2 linked regions of the Mytilus edulis genome follow. The protein of the gene in region 1 purifies or fractionates together with the protein of each later gene. This does not show direct contact. Links are inferred from orthologs where the notes say so. Each region holds a gene or a part of one and is shown on either strand. Other genes may lie near its edges.

Evidence for each region.
Region 2: the proteins of derlin-2-like (region 1) and protein OS-9-like purify together in Homo sapiens (affinity purification with western blotting; 3 studies listed by BioGRID, with this or other methods). This does not show direct contact. The link is inferred for Mytilus edulis from reciprocal best matches to the Homo sapiens genes DERL2 and OS9.

Annotation. Positions count from the first base shown.
Region 1 is NC_092349.1:14,508,296-14,515,649, forward strand, and holds the start of derlin-2-like, read right to left. Parts: upstream 3,297-7,354; 5' UTR 3,233-3,296; coding exon 3,143-3,232; intron 1-3,142. Other genes in the region: sin3 histone deacetylase corepressor complex component SDS3-like, read left to right, coding at 6,589-6,688.
Region 2 is NC_092345.1:81,442,741-81,449,936, forward strand, and holds the start of protein OS-9-like, read left to right. Parts: upstream 1-4,013; 5' UTR 4,014-4,048; coding exon 4,049-4,201; intron 4,202-5,006; coding exon 5,007-5,183; intron 5,184-7,077; coding exon 7,078-7,141; intron 7,142-7,196. UniProt on the Homo sapiens protein: Lectin component of the HRD1 complex, which functions in endoplasmic reticulum (ER) quality control and ER-associated degradation (ERAD).

The sequences.
Region 1 (7,354 bases):
TTATATAGATCAAATATTTTTGGAAAACTACTGACAGGTTTACAAACATTATTTTACAAAAGAATTTTGCTCAGGCCAGTGCTAGGGGTCACCTTACACTTGCACTGAGGTTCCTTTGCTTTTTGTAACAATATAACAATAATTAGCAATATGGGAAATTGAAAAATTCAAATGCATTAATACAGTAGAAAGTTATCCTTATATATCATGCATGTCATGTATATAAATGTAATAGTTATATTATAAGAACAATAATGTAAGGTTTCTTTATCTAAAACTAAAGATCATTCACAATGATCAGTCAGAGCTCAGACATAAACAAGTCTATTTCTGTTTTTGACTTAAAGAAGTCAAAACATGTATTCTTTATAAAAATGTGTTTTCAATTTTAGACTTATCTAAGTCACAAAATGACAGACTTGTTTAGGTCTATTTATGTTGATGAAAAAACTTAACTTGACTTGGTGGCCAAACTACACCACCTTTGACAGTAAAAACCTGTCTGAGAGTTCACAAGGACTTGATCTATCTATATTTAATTATCTAATTGAACATCCTTACTAAACACAGATGTTTTACCTCATTAAGTGTGGATCCAGGTGGTTGCATTGTAAGGTTAATTAACATGATCCCCGATTTTTCAGACTCTCATTCATATTTTTCTTTAGAAGACAAGGCATAATTGGCTTTCAATGTTGTCATTATTTGATTTAGATGCATGACCTTTTTATAAGTATGCGTGGGTCTTGAAGTTTTGGTAACTTATCGACTTGTAGGAGTTGATATTTGCAACTTTTTGATTCTGGTCAATCATTTCTTGCTTAACAATATTTGACTTATTTAAGTCGTATTTTGTCTTGCATTAAAGGGAGACAAATCCTAAAACTTACAAATTTAGACATCTATAAGTCAAAAGCAGATTCAGACTTATTTATGTCTGAGCTCTGACTGATGATATACTAGTGTTTTCTTTTTGCCTTTAAATCTTACTTCAAAAATATATTATACTGCCACATGTACAAGAGTGTTGAACATGTTCAATGACTGACCTATCATGCCTATATATGAAGGTACATGTAGCAATATCTTCATTTAAAAAATTTGTAAGGGTTCCGCGGAACCCAGTGTCTCGCCTACTTTTGCTGTTAATCACACACTCATCAAAAATGATGAAAAAAATCAATAAAATTATTCCTCTCGATACTATCTTTTGATTGTCAGAAGCTTCTGTCCAAGTTTGGTAAAAATCCAGGCTAGTTTAAGAATCTTAAAAATGTTTTAAATACTTTAACTGCAGACTGTATGTAATGTTAACTGAAAGAAAAACTAAGTCCATTTATAAGTAAAATATGGGAAAAATGGAATTTTATTTTTACAAAATTTACATCTGGATACTATCTTCTGATCATAAACAAGCTTCTGGCCAAGTTTCTTACAATTCCAGGATAGTTTAAGAAAGGTTTTAAAATTTTAAAAACTTTAACCACAGAGTGAATGTAATGTTTCCTGGCAGAAAAACTAAGTCCATTTATAAGTAAAATACGGAAAAAATGGAATTTTATTTTTACAAAATTTACTTCTGGATACTATCTCCTGCTCATAAACAAGCTTCTGGCCAAGTTTTGTACATTTCCAGGATAGTTTAAGATAGTTATTAAAATTTTAAAAACTTTAACCACAGAGTGAATGTAATGTTTTCTGGCAGAAAAAACTAAGTCCATTTATAAGTAAAATACGGAAAAAATGGAATTTTATTTTTACAAAATTAACTTCTGGATACTATCTCCTGATCATAAACAAGCTTCTGTCAGAGTTTCGTACAATTCAAGGATAGTTTAAGAAAGTTATTAACATTTCAAAAACTTTAACCACAGAGTGAATATTTGTGGACGCCGCCTACGCCGCCGCCGACGGAATGTAGGATCGCTATGTCTCGCTTTTTCGACTAAAGTCGAAGGCTCGACAAAAACAAATATCACTGAATATTCTTCAACATTTTTTAAGTGACCTATATGTTATGCATGTTGTACAAATGATGATTGCAATTGAATGGAATTAAGACAACAGCGAGTTTGTTGATCCACAGAACATTTTTTAAAACATAAAATGTATAAAACGAATCGTCTTGAGTCGGATTACTACGGGCCGCATCAGTTTAGGGCTGGATTTTGGGGCCTGACCAACAAGGGCACTATCAGTTTGGGGCTGGATCGACCTTATAATGATGATGGAAGTGTTTTAACGACCTTGACTGGCTTTACAGCTCTCACAGTCAGCTCTGTGCCCAAAGAAAAGCAAGGTGAGCATTTAAATATTTTCTGCAGTTGGTCAGGAACAGATGGAAGGCACAATATTGATAGGCAGCAATCTCAGTTTTCGTGAGATACTACCATTTAGTTTGATTGCTATTGTACTTAACAACGACTGCTTTCAGGGCCAGGTTGGTCAGCTTGGCAGCCCTCTAACCACAATGATGAAGTACTGGTCGATGGGTCTCAGACAAAGTCATAATGATGACAGGAATCTTTATCAGGACCAAAGTGGTAAGACAGTGCAATGGTGGTCCATTATCCAACACCTATGATACAGACCAGTAGAAGTCAGTCAGCATAATATGTCCCCTGTAATGTGTGTTAAGGACAAAATGCTAATGCGATATTTATGCAAAACAACAAGTTTAAGATCATACTGTTCAGCATTGAATTGGTGTCTATCATCAATCAATAAACCCTGGAGTAAACCAACATCGTGGATAGCAGTAGTCCAAATAATTATGATGTAATGGAAGGCTATTTCAAATTTTTGCTTTGACGCTTTCCTGTGACAATGTACATGTAAGGCATCAAGAAAAAAAAAAAAATAGCCTTTAAAGACGTTGTAATTATTTGAACTAGGATAGCAGGTAAAGAGGAGCTGACCCAGTTCTGCTGTTCAGTTGTAATGACTGAGGTGCAACTGAATGCTGAATTGATAGCGATGTGGATCGACCTGATAGCTGTACATATACATGATTATGATTTGACATACAATCCAGCCTTTTTTTTTTTATCAGAGATACAAAATTTTGTAAGTGGCTGTGTTACAGTCCTACATTATATTGCTTGTATTTAACATTTATTTAAAACTGAAATAAGAATAATACCACTGCTATCGTTGTGATAACACATGCTGTAGTGTAAGCCCGAGTAACGGGCGGCATTTGCATGTATTCTTGCTGAAATGTTTGTGCCATGGCTGTGTAGTGCAATGTTTACACCGGATGTTGAAGAATCCACGTAGAATAAGATAAAAGTAAAAAGTAAAAGATATCAACACAAATTTTAAAATATTCCTCTTGTAATTTCTTCCGAAACTATATCATTTTTGTTTTCTATTTAGTTAAGTATACAAATTTTATATCTGATTCGTTGATTTTACGATAGGATCTTTTTTCAAAAAATAAAATTGTTATCTGCAGATTTTACTTACACCGGAAGTGAAATAAATGGTACGCACTGAAACCCGGACCGGACCGGACTCCGGACCCGGACTTTGGTATGAAACCCGGACCCGGACCCGGACTGGCCACCGGACCCGGACTGAATGCCGGACCCGGACTGTGGGTTTTTTACCACTTTGATTTTTTTTAAGATTACTGTCATATAAATTATTAGTTACAGTATATAAAAATTAAAAAAAAAATCCACATTCCGAGCGCAAAATTGAACAAAAAAGAGTAAAGTAAAGTAAGGAAGAAATATATAATAATTCCTTTGTCGTTATTGTTTTATTGAAATTAATAAAATCTTTTTTATTATCAATGAAAGCAAATTAAATTCTTTTCATAGGAAGAGTAAAGCGCAATAGTTTGATACATTCGAGGGTTATATTTTTTTTGTATTGTTTTCTTCTTCTAGACATTAAGGGAAAAATAGAATTCCTGCTTTTCTAAAACATTGTTTTGGCAGTCTTAATTAATCACTTTTAATATTAGTTTCCTCTTATGAGAACACCAATTACGCGTTGTTATGTCACTGTGTAATGAAAGTCTCGTGTTTTATTGGGTGTTTGACATTTGCGCCGATTTTTAAAAGTTTCGATCTTTCATTTGCGCCGATTGTGCACAGGTTAATTGCAGGTGAATGTCACATTGATTCTATTCATCAATATAAACCTCTTTCGTTACCCAATTGTACATATGTTATGAATTGTCAACTAGTATCATTAAGAATTCCTATGATCTCTTATTGTAATTCCGAATTCTTATGATATCTTATTGTTCCTCCGAACTCTTATGATATCTTATTGTTTCTCAGAATTCTTATGACTTTTTATTGTTCTTCCGAATTCTTATGCCTTTTGATTTTTCCTCCGAATTCTTATGATCTCTTGTTGTTCCTCAGAAGCCTTATGACTTTTTATTGTTCCTCCGAGTTATTTTAATCTCTATTAAGACTTATATGGTTTCTCCGAATTCTGTTTCTCTAAATTCTTCTCTAATACTGTTCCTCAGATTGAATTATTGACAAAGGTTTACACTCGCTTTAGGATATTGGTTTAATTGAAAGAAAAAGGAAAAAGAAGACACAATTAACCAGGAATTACTTACAAAATACATTAAGGCTATTGGTAATTCAGTGTTTAAATAACCAAAGTAAAAACTATGATGGATTGCTTTTTTGTACTAGCTGTGATCAGTAACTGCGAGTATTCTCATATCTGTAGTTGGTGTCGTACGGTCACCTATAGTTGTAAATGTCTGTGTCATTTGGTCTTCTTTGTCAGCTGTCTCATTGGCAATCACATCACATCACATCATTCTTATTATTATATCAACATTGCAAATAACGCGTCACTTGTCGATAACATGGTATTTATAAATAAAATAATAAAAAAAAAGATTTACTTTCTTATTTGATTGTCATCACAAAGTCTATTAAAATAATTCAACAATCCAATGTTTCACGATAAAGGTGTCAAAGACTACACTATCAATCATAATCAAGCATGTATAGAAGTCAGATTTAAAGGGGCATTAGCTCCGAGATTTAATGAAATGATAAATAAAAATGTTCAATATAGTGAAATAATTTTATTTTAGCAGCCATTGTCAAAATAAACTAATATACATCGCTTATGAATTATTCACTCGTAATCTCCGTATCAATAGTATTCCTTTGGTAAGAAATACAGAAATAATCTTGTGTTACACGTTAACCGGGATATTTTTTACCCCAAGATGGTACTCTGAATAAAATCTTCTGCGGCTCCTGATTGGATGATACAAAGTTGGAATTGCTCCAATAAAATTTAAGCAGCGATCGATCATCCATGTAATACACATTCTTGAACAGGTGAGTCCGGACTGTGACCTGACATGACCCCGGACTAGCTTGAAGTTTACTATACCTGCGTGTATTGCATTACGACGACTAACTGTATGTAAACTGTTTATTGTCGTAAAGTATATTGACGGGACATTTGATCAAGCATGTAATACATAAGAAATTTATAAGATATTTATCCGACATTTAACGAATAATATAAATGTAATAGGCGAGTCCGGATGGTGACCTGAAGTAACCCCGGACTAGGTGTATTCGCAAACTGTAGACATCGATAGAGATATAAAAACTTCACAAATGATTTGATGAGACGAACTTATTCATTTTTATTCATTCAACTTTTTCCTTATTGGATTGTCGTCGGAAACATTAATAAAAGACGTGTACCCGAGAATCAACAAATTAAAATTAGACGAGTCCGGACTCTGATCTGATATAACCACGGACCAGGAGTGTACGGATTGTATATAAATATACTAAATTATTTGTTTAATTGAAAGATTTTTTCCCCCTTTTTACTTTTTACTTTTCCTTTATTCATTTCTCTATTTCTTTAGTTATTCGATTGTCATCGGAAAAATCAATAAACGACACTTAAGCGGCGTTCAACAATGTAATACACATTCTTGAACAGGTGAGTCCGGACTGTGACCTGACATGACCCCGGACTAGCTTGAAGTTTACTATTCCTGCGTGTATTGCATTACGACGACTAACTGTGTGTAAACTGTTTATTGTCGTAAAGTATATTGACGGGACATTTGATCAAGCATGTAATACATAAGAAATTTATAAGATATTTATCCGACATTTAACGAAAAATATAAATGTAATAGGCGAGTCCGGATGGTGACCTGAAGTAAACCCGGACTAGATGTATTCGCAAACTATAGACATCGATAGAGATATAAAAACTTCACAAATGATTTGATGAGACGAACTTATTCATTTTTTTTCATTCAACTTTTTCCTTATTGGATTGTCGTCGGAAACATTAATAAAAGACGTGTACCCGAGAATCCACAAATTTGATTATCTTATTATTATAATGTACTGTGTTACAGTTCTCAAAAAATTATCTTCCTTCTCCTGATTAAAAAAAGAAAAAGGTGATTCTAAGAAAATTCAGAATTATTACCCAGTCCGGGTCCGGCATTTAGTCCGGGTCCGGCGTCCGGTCCGGGTCCGGGTTTCATACCAAAGTCCGGGTCCGGAGTCCGGTCCGGTCCGGGTTTCAGTACGTACCGAAATAAATCAACAAACCATGGCCTCGTACGCTTCTTCACGGGACGAAAACAATTCAGATTTTGAAGAGGTTGACAGCTTTGACTGTGATGAACTGGATGCACAAGCAACTGACGAAGGTAAATATTCAATCTGCTTAATATTTTATTATTCTTTGTGTGGATGCAAAAGATGTTTAGTTTTAAAAATTTTAGTGCTTCATATATATGTTTTGGTATTTTGCAAGATACATGTATTATCTATTTGCTTAGAGTTAATTTTTGGTGCTGCTTCTTATTATTTATTGCATGCTGCATGTCTTGTTTTATTTGTTATTGCATATGTTTTTATATTCGGTGAAAAGCTCATTAGAGCTTATGTTTGTATTGTTTGTCAATATGCCGAATCCAAATAAAGTTTTACTTACTTACTTACTTACTCAACCCTGCACCTGACAAAGGTACTTTTATAAGCATTGTGGCTTTGTGCTGTTATAGTTTATGCTGTGACTTTTATCTCGTTATTGCAATGCATTTTAGAAGTCATATACCAACTAAACTCAGTGGCAATATTAGTTTTCTTTTTGGTTTGCATTCTACAGTTCTAGACCTTCCTATGGATAGAAACAAGTGCCTGTGGTTTCGGCCATGAATCACTTAGGTATATATGTAATTCAAGGAATTGTGTTAAAATATTTAATAATTTAGGTCACCCTTATAATAAGAAGATAAGTGTATTATATTTTAAGCTCCGACAGCATCAATCGTTGATTAGATGGTCACACAGTGTTCTCCCCAGGATTTTTG
Region 2 (7,196 bases), on another chromosome or scaffold:
GATAGTTCAACATCTGCTGCCATTAGATATAAGAACCTAAATCTAGCTCCAATGTATTTGCATTCCTTCTATCTAATTTGCGTTGAATTTGATGTATCTCCATTAGAGGAGTTCTAAAGTCCTATAATGGAAGAATTGGAATGTCCATTGGCTCCATGCGAGGAGTTGTCTGATGTGTCGGTATATGTATAACGGGTGGGTCTGCTCTTTCCAATGATTTGTCTGTAGTCTGCAGTGTTGGTACAGTGGTTGGACCTTTGTTTTTGAGGTATTCATAATCTGTGTCTGTCAATGTCAGAAAACTGATCCAATTTTGTCTGTTTCCGTAAGACATAGGGAGGAAAAAATGAAAGAGTTTGATGAATGGTGTGTAGATGAACGGATGAATGCTTGTAGCATATGGAGGCAAAATAAACTTCCTGTACATCTTGGAATGTTTTATAGGTATGCCTTGTATACGCAAAACTGAAAAAGAAAAATAAGATTTTGTTGTAAAATAATGTACACTTTATGTGCGTTTTTTTATTTATTACAATAGTATTTTTTGTCTATTGGTGACAACTGCATATTGTAGTTGTATCAAAGATCTAATTAATTGTCATAACTATTTCAGTTACAGAGTACGACAGGGTTGTCCTTTTCTCCCTACCATATATGTTGTAAAACCTTATGAGTGAAATGTTATTTGATGTCTTAAAGATACTTCCAAATATACCTCTTAAACACAAACTTTTAGTATAAATCAGAAATTTAAAAATAAAAATGTTACAATTTGCTAATATCGTTTTAACCTACCTGAATTAACCGCTAAAACCCAAATGATAATAGATGACTTGAAAGTCATAATGTTATCTGCAGCTTTGTCTATATAATGGTTATCCTTTGTGTTACACCAAGAACACTATATTATACATATATAAACAGTAAGCCTATATAGATCTATATAGGAATACAGGTATTATATGGTACATAATTTTAGAATGAGTCTTTTTGCGTAATATGACGCACATAGTGACAATGGGTTTTATTATTAGTAACGACCAATGACATTGAACTATTTTTAATTAATGTAACTATTGGTGCAAAAAAAATGAATGGTGTCATAACTTTTGAACACATACAACTCCAAATGTGTTGCGTTTCGTGCGCTTATATACAAATGTAATTATTAAACAGGGTTTTATTTTAAAAGGATGTCAACTCAAAATTGTTATGAATGTCAAGTTATAGTCTACGAATTGTCGAATATCAAAATCCAAATTTAAATCTTACGGAAGCCTTTAAGGGCCATGTTCAATTACTTTATACAATTTGATATAACAAATTATTAATTTGATATAACAGATTATCAATTCGATATAACAGATTATCAATTCGATATAACAGATTATCATATACTTAGACTAAATAACCTATAAATTTTACCGTATGATAATAGCATTAAATTGACGTAAATTCCATATTTTTCGAATTGGTGCTTAGCGGGCTGATATGAAAAATTTATCAAATGCTTATCACATGCCTTTCCGTAACGTTATCACGTGGCATTCCGGTAATACTCGGCCAATTCCGGAAAATACACCTCAATGCTACGTTTTCAGTGAAAAACATTACAAAGTAGTGTACAAAACAACTATTTGAATACTGGAAAGAATATTGTTTAAAATCATAAAAAAAAAAAAAAATAATAATAAATGCATTTTTTAAGTTTTTCTGAAACATAATTTAGAAAGTTTCTTTAAAAAGTTGACTTTTCCAAACAATGATCATTATGTATATTGTTGAATTATTTTTTTGTCGATTCGTCCATAATAAATGGGTTTTTTTTTCTCGCTCTGTTGAGACATATGATAGAAAGATTTCATATTGAATGTATCAAATTTTGGGTCCGACGGCCGTGAACTTTTTTACTCTTTAAACTTCTGGAACCACGTAAAAGGATCAATATATGAATCTGTTATTTTTTTCTACTGTTGAAGCATATGATAAAAAGATCATAACATGTCATTTTTCATATCGCATGTATTATCAGCCCTCGGTCAATATCAGCCCTCGAGCCATGCGGCTCTTGGGCTGAGTATTGAACCTAGGGCTGATAATACATGCAATATGAAAAATGCCATGTAATAATATACAATTACTGTCTTTTGATGAGGTAAATATGCGGTTTTATTGACTTTTGAAAAATTGATATTCACTGAGGCCGACGGCCGAAGTGAATATCAGTTTTTCAAAAGTCAATTAAACCACATATTTACCGAAACAAAAGACAGTAATTGTTTTATTCCATATTCCGAGGAGATAAAATGTATTTGATGACAAACATAATACCAAAACAAATTTTACATGAAACATTTTACCATAACGTAGCATGTAAAAGCGCGTGACGTTTAGCGCGGTGAATAACACTTTCTCAGGTGAATATGCTTTTTTATTCAAAGTCCAATTCATATAGAGAAACCTACTAAAATAATACCAATATGGAATAATCTGATATTATCAATTTGGTATAACAGATTTTCAATTTTGATAATTATAACAATTTGTAAATTTGATATAACAAATTATTAATTTGATATAACAAATTATTAATTTGATATAACAAATTATTAATTTGATATAACAAATTATTAATTTGATATAACAAATGACCAATTTGATATAAAAAATTGTGAATTTCTCTACCAATAGGATAATTTTATCATAATAATGATTAATTTAAATATTGCATAACCCAAACTGGCGCATTTCGTGTACTAATTGATTGTTCATCGGACGTGCAGTGACAAATATCTAAGATCATCTAATGCATATTCAAAACTCAATTTACAGGTTTATTGTTTCTGTAACTCATCCTCCTCCCTTTTTTCTCCTTTATTTGATACATTTTTTTGGGGACTAGTTTCCCAATTTCGTATATGGGACTTTGTGTCTTAGAACGAACAAGTATAAGAGAGAAAAGGGCCTGTTTGATCAATATATATTGCATATTTTCAAAGGAAAACAAAGAGTTCTATTGAGATATTGCTTTTTCTAGGACCATAGGAACATGCAAGGATAAAAAAATATGCTTCACCTTCTTGAAAAAGCCTGGCATGATGCTTTAATGATTTCAACAGGAACATGAAAGGATAAATATTATAAATTTAGCTTTAACATATATTTTTTATTTGGATTTTTAAAAATTAAAATAAAGAAACATGCGTGAGATTTTTAATGATTGCTGACTTCTAATTAATTAATTAATTAGACCACTATGAGGTCCAAATTTTATATATTTGCTCAAAATTCGGATTTGTGTCGAAAGGAAAAATACGTCCACAAATCCGAATTTAGAGCAAATATATAAAATTTGGACCTCATTTTACTCAAAAAGTAGCACATTAAGGTAATTTTTTATAACATATTTGATTTAATCAGCCAAATAATAGCCTATATGCAAATTGTCATCAAAATTTCAATATGGGATCAAAATTGTATCGTATGCCCTTACCTTTTGAAGTGCAATGCCAACGGTCGTTCCCGAAATATATTTCATTTGAACTTATTATTTTACTTCAGACAAAAACTACAGTATATGTAGGACATAGTCTAGGTAACCTGGCATTTAAGGTAGCAGTAGCACTTCCCTCATATGATCATAAACTACTTAAAACTTTTTTTGAATTCTTCTATCGTTATATTCTTGTTTAATATGTCTCTGTCGATATTAAGATTTGGTTCTGAAGTTGGCTGTACCTATCTTTTTGTATATTTGTTATATTATCAATTTTTACAATTTTTCTTTGTTTTACTTATTTTATAAACCCTATATTTAAATTATCACATACTTATATTTGTAAACTAAAATTAAATCCATAGAACACAAATTTGAAATGGTCCAAATAAAAATCACTCAAGAAGGATCATCGAAACTACTAAAGAAATTCAAACTGCAAATATCAGGATCTGGGGAAGAAAAGTGATACGAGTTTTGTCAATACCCTTTCTCCATTCGGAATTAATCTTGTCGCGTAATCATACGCATGCGTATTGAACCAAAACAAACATGGATCACTTTTCCAGCTTCACAATCTTCCTATTACTTTCACAATGTTTTGGAAATATAGTAATGTTTTCAGGAATGTTAGATATAGAAGAAATAAACAACGTAAATTATGGAATCGATATTTTAAAAGAGCCAGTGTTGTTAAAGCCGGAGGTACAAATATGCAGGTTTTCTATACATCCCTCAACATATTTTTTTTTAGCAAATTCGGCCTGAGAAGATCTGAAAACACAGTTATTTTGTTGTGCATTTCTTTAAACCATAAATCTTAATTAAGAAAAATCTCACCTGTGATTTCTCAATTATATTTTTAAACTTTGTTGTGCTACTTTATATATTATAAATTATATCAAAATTATAGAAAACTTCATTATAAATTAAGATTTGTGTATCTTACTATACAAATCCTTGTTCAGCTTACTGTATACACATATTGATTAAAGAACTTATAATATTGCTTTTTTGGAAACTTCAGACCCTTGACCCAAGAATCTGTGACACTTGTCGAACTATTGATGTCATTGAACTTGACGTCGTGCATCAACCAACTTTTCATTGCAGAGTCTGGCATGTCCTGTTGTGATTTAACAAATTTTACTGGAACATTTGTGATGTCCAGTAATGATGGACAAATAGCGATATTAAGGTCACTGGTGTATTGTGTGTTAAAGGAAGGTTGACTATCCAAATAATACATACAGACAATTTTATATTTACCAGTGAGAGGCTTATTGGTAGTGTAAATTATTCTAAAATTTAATTTGTATTCTGTATGTTGCCCCATTTTAGCCATATTAGGGATGTCATGCACATACATCTTGTGATACCCATTGGATCCACAACTAGTTAGATATTAGCTACATTTTTTTGTAAATGTCAACATCTAATTAAAAATGAAATTCATTTAACTAAACACTAATGAATTGCTGTTTCTTTATGATGGAATGTATATTTCTAGGTAGAATTGCCGGTAAATCACATCCATTTAACGTCCAAATATGGACAGAGATATCAATGTCATTTTCCAGACCAAGTGGAAACAGTAAGAAAAACTGAAGAAAAGGAAAAAGAAGCTTTAGAAACTGGAATTCCTGAATTACTTAAACCATTAGAATCTGTACCTTGTTTGCTGAAGGTATATAATTTTTGATGTACTGTTTTAAAGGGACAGATTTTGTTTTTTTTTGCTTAAACTCTATAAAAATAACTTACATCTACATTGTATATAAAGCATGAAACCTTAGGGGATAGGAAATTCTGGAATGTCTATAATTACAGGTATATCATTCAGACCTATATTCAATGCTTTCTGACATAAAATCATTTCAACATATTGATCAGAATGAGACAAAATCGTTTTTACCAATTGTTTTATAATACCTAAACTTGTAAATGCTATTTAAATGGAGCAGAAAGAGAGAGAGGGGAATACACAAGATGATCAATTATTTTAGGAGTTTGGAATTATATAAGCTTCATCAACTGAGTATTTATCAGAAAATGTACCCTGTAAAAAGTGTATGCAAAACAGTGACTAAATGTACATTCAAAAGATTCTAGTTGAAACTAACACTGTAGATAGGCTTAGAATATTTAATTAAAAAAGAAAATTCATATCTGCCTAAGGCCACATATCTTCAAATTTTATAATATTCATTTAGTTCCTTTTTAGCTCACCTGGCCTAAAAGGCCATGTGAGCTTTTCTCATCACTTGGCGTCCGTCGTCGTCGTCGTTAACAATTTTTCAAACATCTTCTCCTCTGAAACTGCTGAATGGATTTGAATGAAACTTAAAATGATTGTTCCTTAGATTATCCTGCACAAAGTGTGTTCTTTAATTTTTGATCCGTCAAAAAACATGGCCGCCGTTACTTAAAATAGAACATAGGGGTCCGATGCAGTTTTTGGCTTATATCTCAAAAACGGAAGCATTTAGAGCAAATCTGACATGGGGTAAAAATGTTTATTAGGTCAAGATCTATCAGCTCAGAAATTTTCAGATGAATCAAACAAACCATTGTTGGGTTGCTGCCACTTAATTGGTAATTTTAAGGAAATTTTGCAGTTTTTGGTCATTATCTTGAATATTATTATAGATGAAGATAAACTGTAAACAGCAAAAATGATCAGCAAAGTAAGATCTACAAATAGATTAATATGACCAAAATTGTCAATTGACCCCTTAAGGGGTAAATGTCTTTTAATGACAATTTTTCACAATTTGTTCATCATATTTGCTAACTTTAAAAAATCTTCTCCTCTGAAACTACTGAATGGATTTGGATGAAACTTAGCATGATAGTTCCTTAGATTATCCTGCACAAAGTGTGTGCTTCGATTTTTGATCCGTCAAAAAACATGGCCGCCCTTACTTTAAATAGAACATAGGGGTCAAATGCAGTTTTTGGCTTATATCTCAAAAACGAAAGCATAGAAGAACTGTAAAGTGTACATGTCCAACTGGCAGGTGTCATCTCACCTTGACCTCATTTTCATGGTTCAGTGGTTATAGTTAAGTTTTTGTGTTTTGGTCTGTTTTTCTTATACTATATGCAATAGGTCTACTAAAATTGGTGTATAGAATGATTGTAAGGTGTACATGTCTAGCTGACAGGTGTCATCTAACCTTGACCTCATTTTCATAGTTCAGTGGTCAAAGTTAACTTTTTTAGTTTTGGTCTATTTTTTCAATACTTTATGCATTAGGTCAACTATATTTGGTGTATGAAAATATTTTATGATCTATATGTCGGTTACGCAGGTTTTATTTGAACTTGACCTCATTTTCACAGTCCATTGCTAAGTTTTAAGTGTTTGTGTTTTGGTCTCATTTTCTTTATTTATAAACAGTAAGTCATATATATTTGTAATATTGAAGAATTGTTAGCTGTACATGTTTGCCTGGCATGGTTCAATATGTTCAATAAGGCATTGTTTACCAGGTGAGCGATTCAGGCTCTTGAGAGCCTCTTGTTTGTTTGTTGTATCTTAAATTATTACCTTGAGTACATGTATATATTTTTTTCAGGCAAAGGATTGGTGGAGTTATGAGTTCTGCTATGGGAAATATATCCGACAATTTCATATTGAAGGTATAAAATAGAAATTAAAACTCTAACTGATGTCTGACAGAACTTTGAAATACTC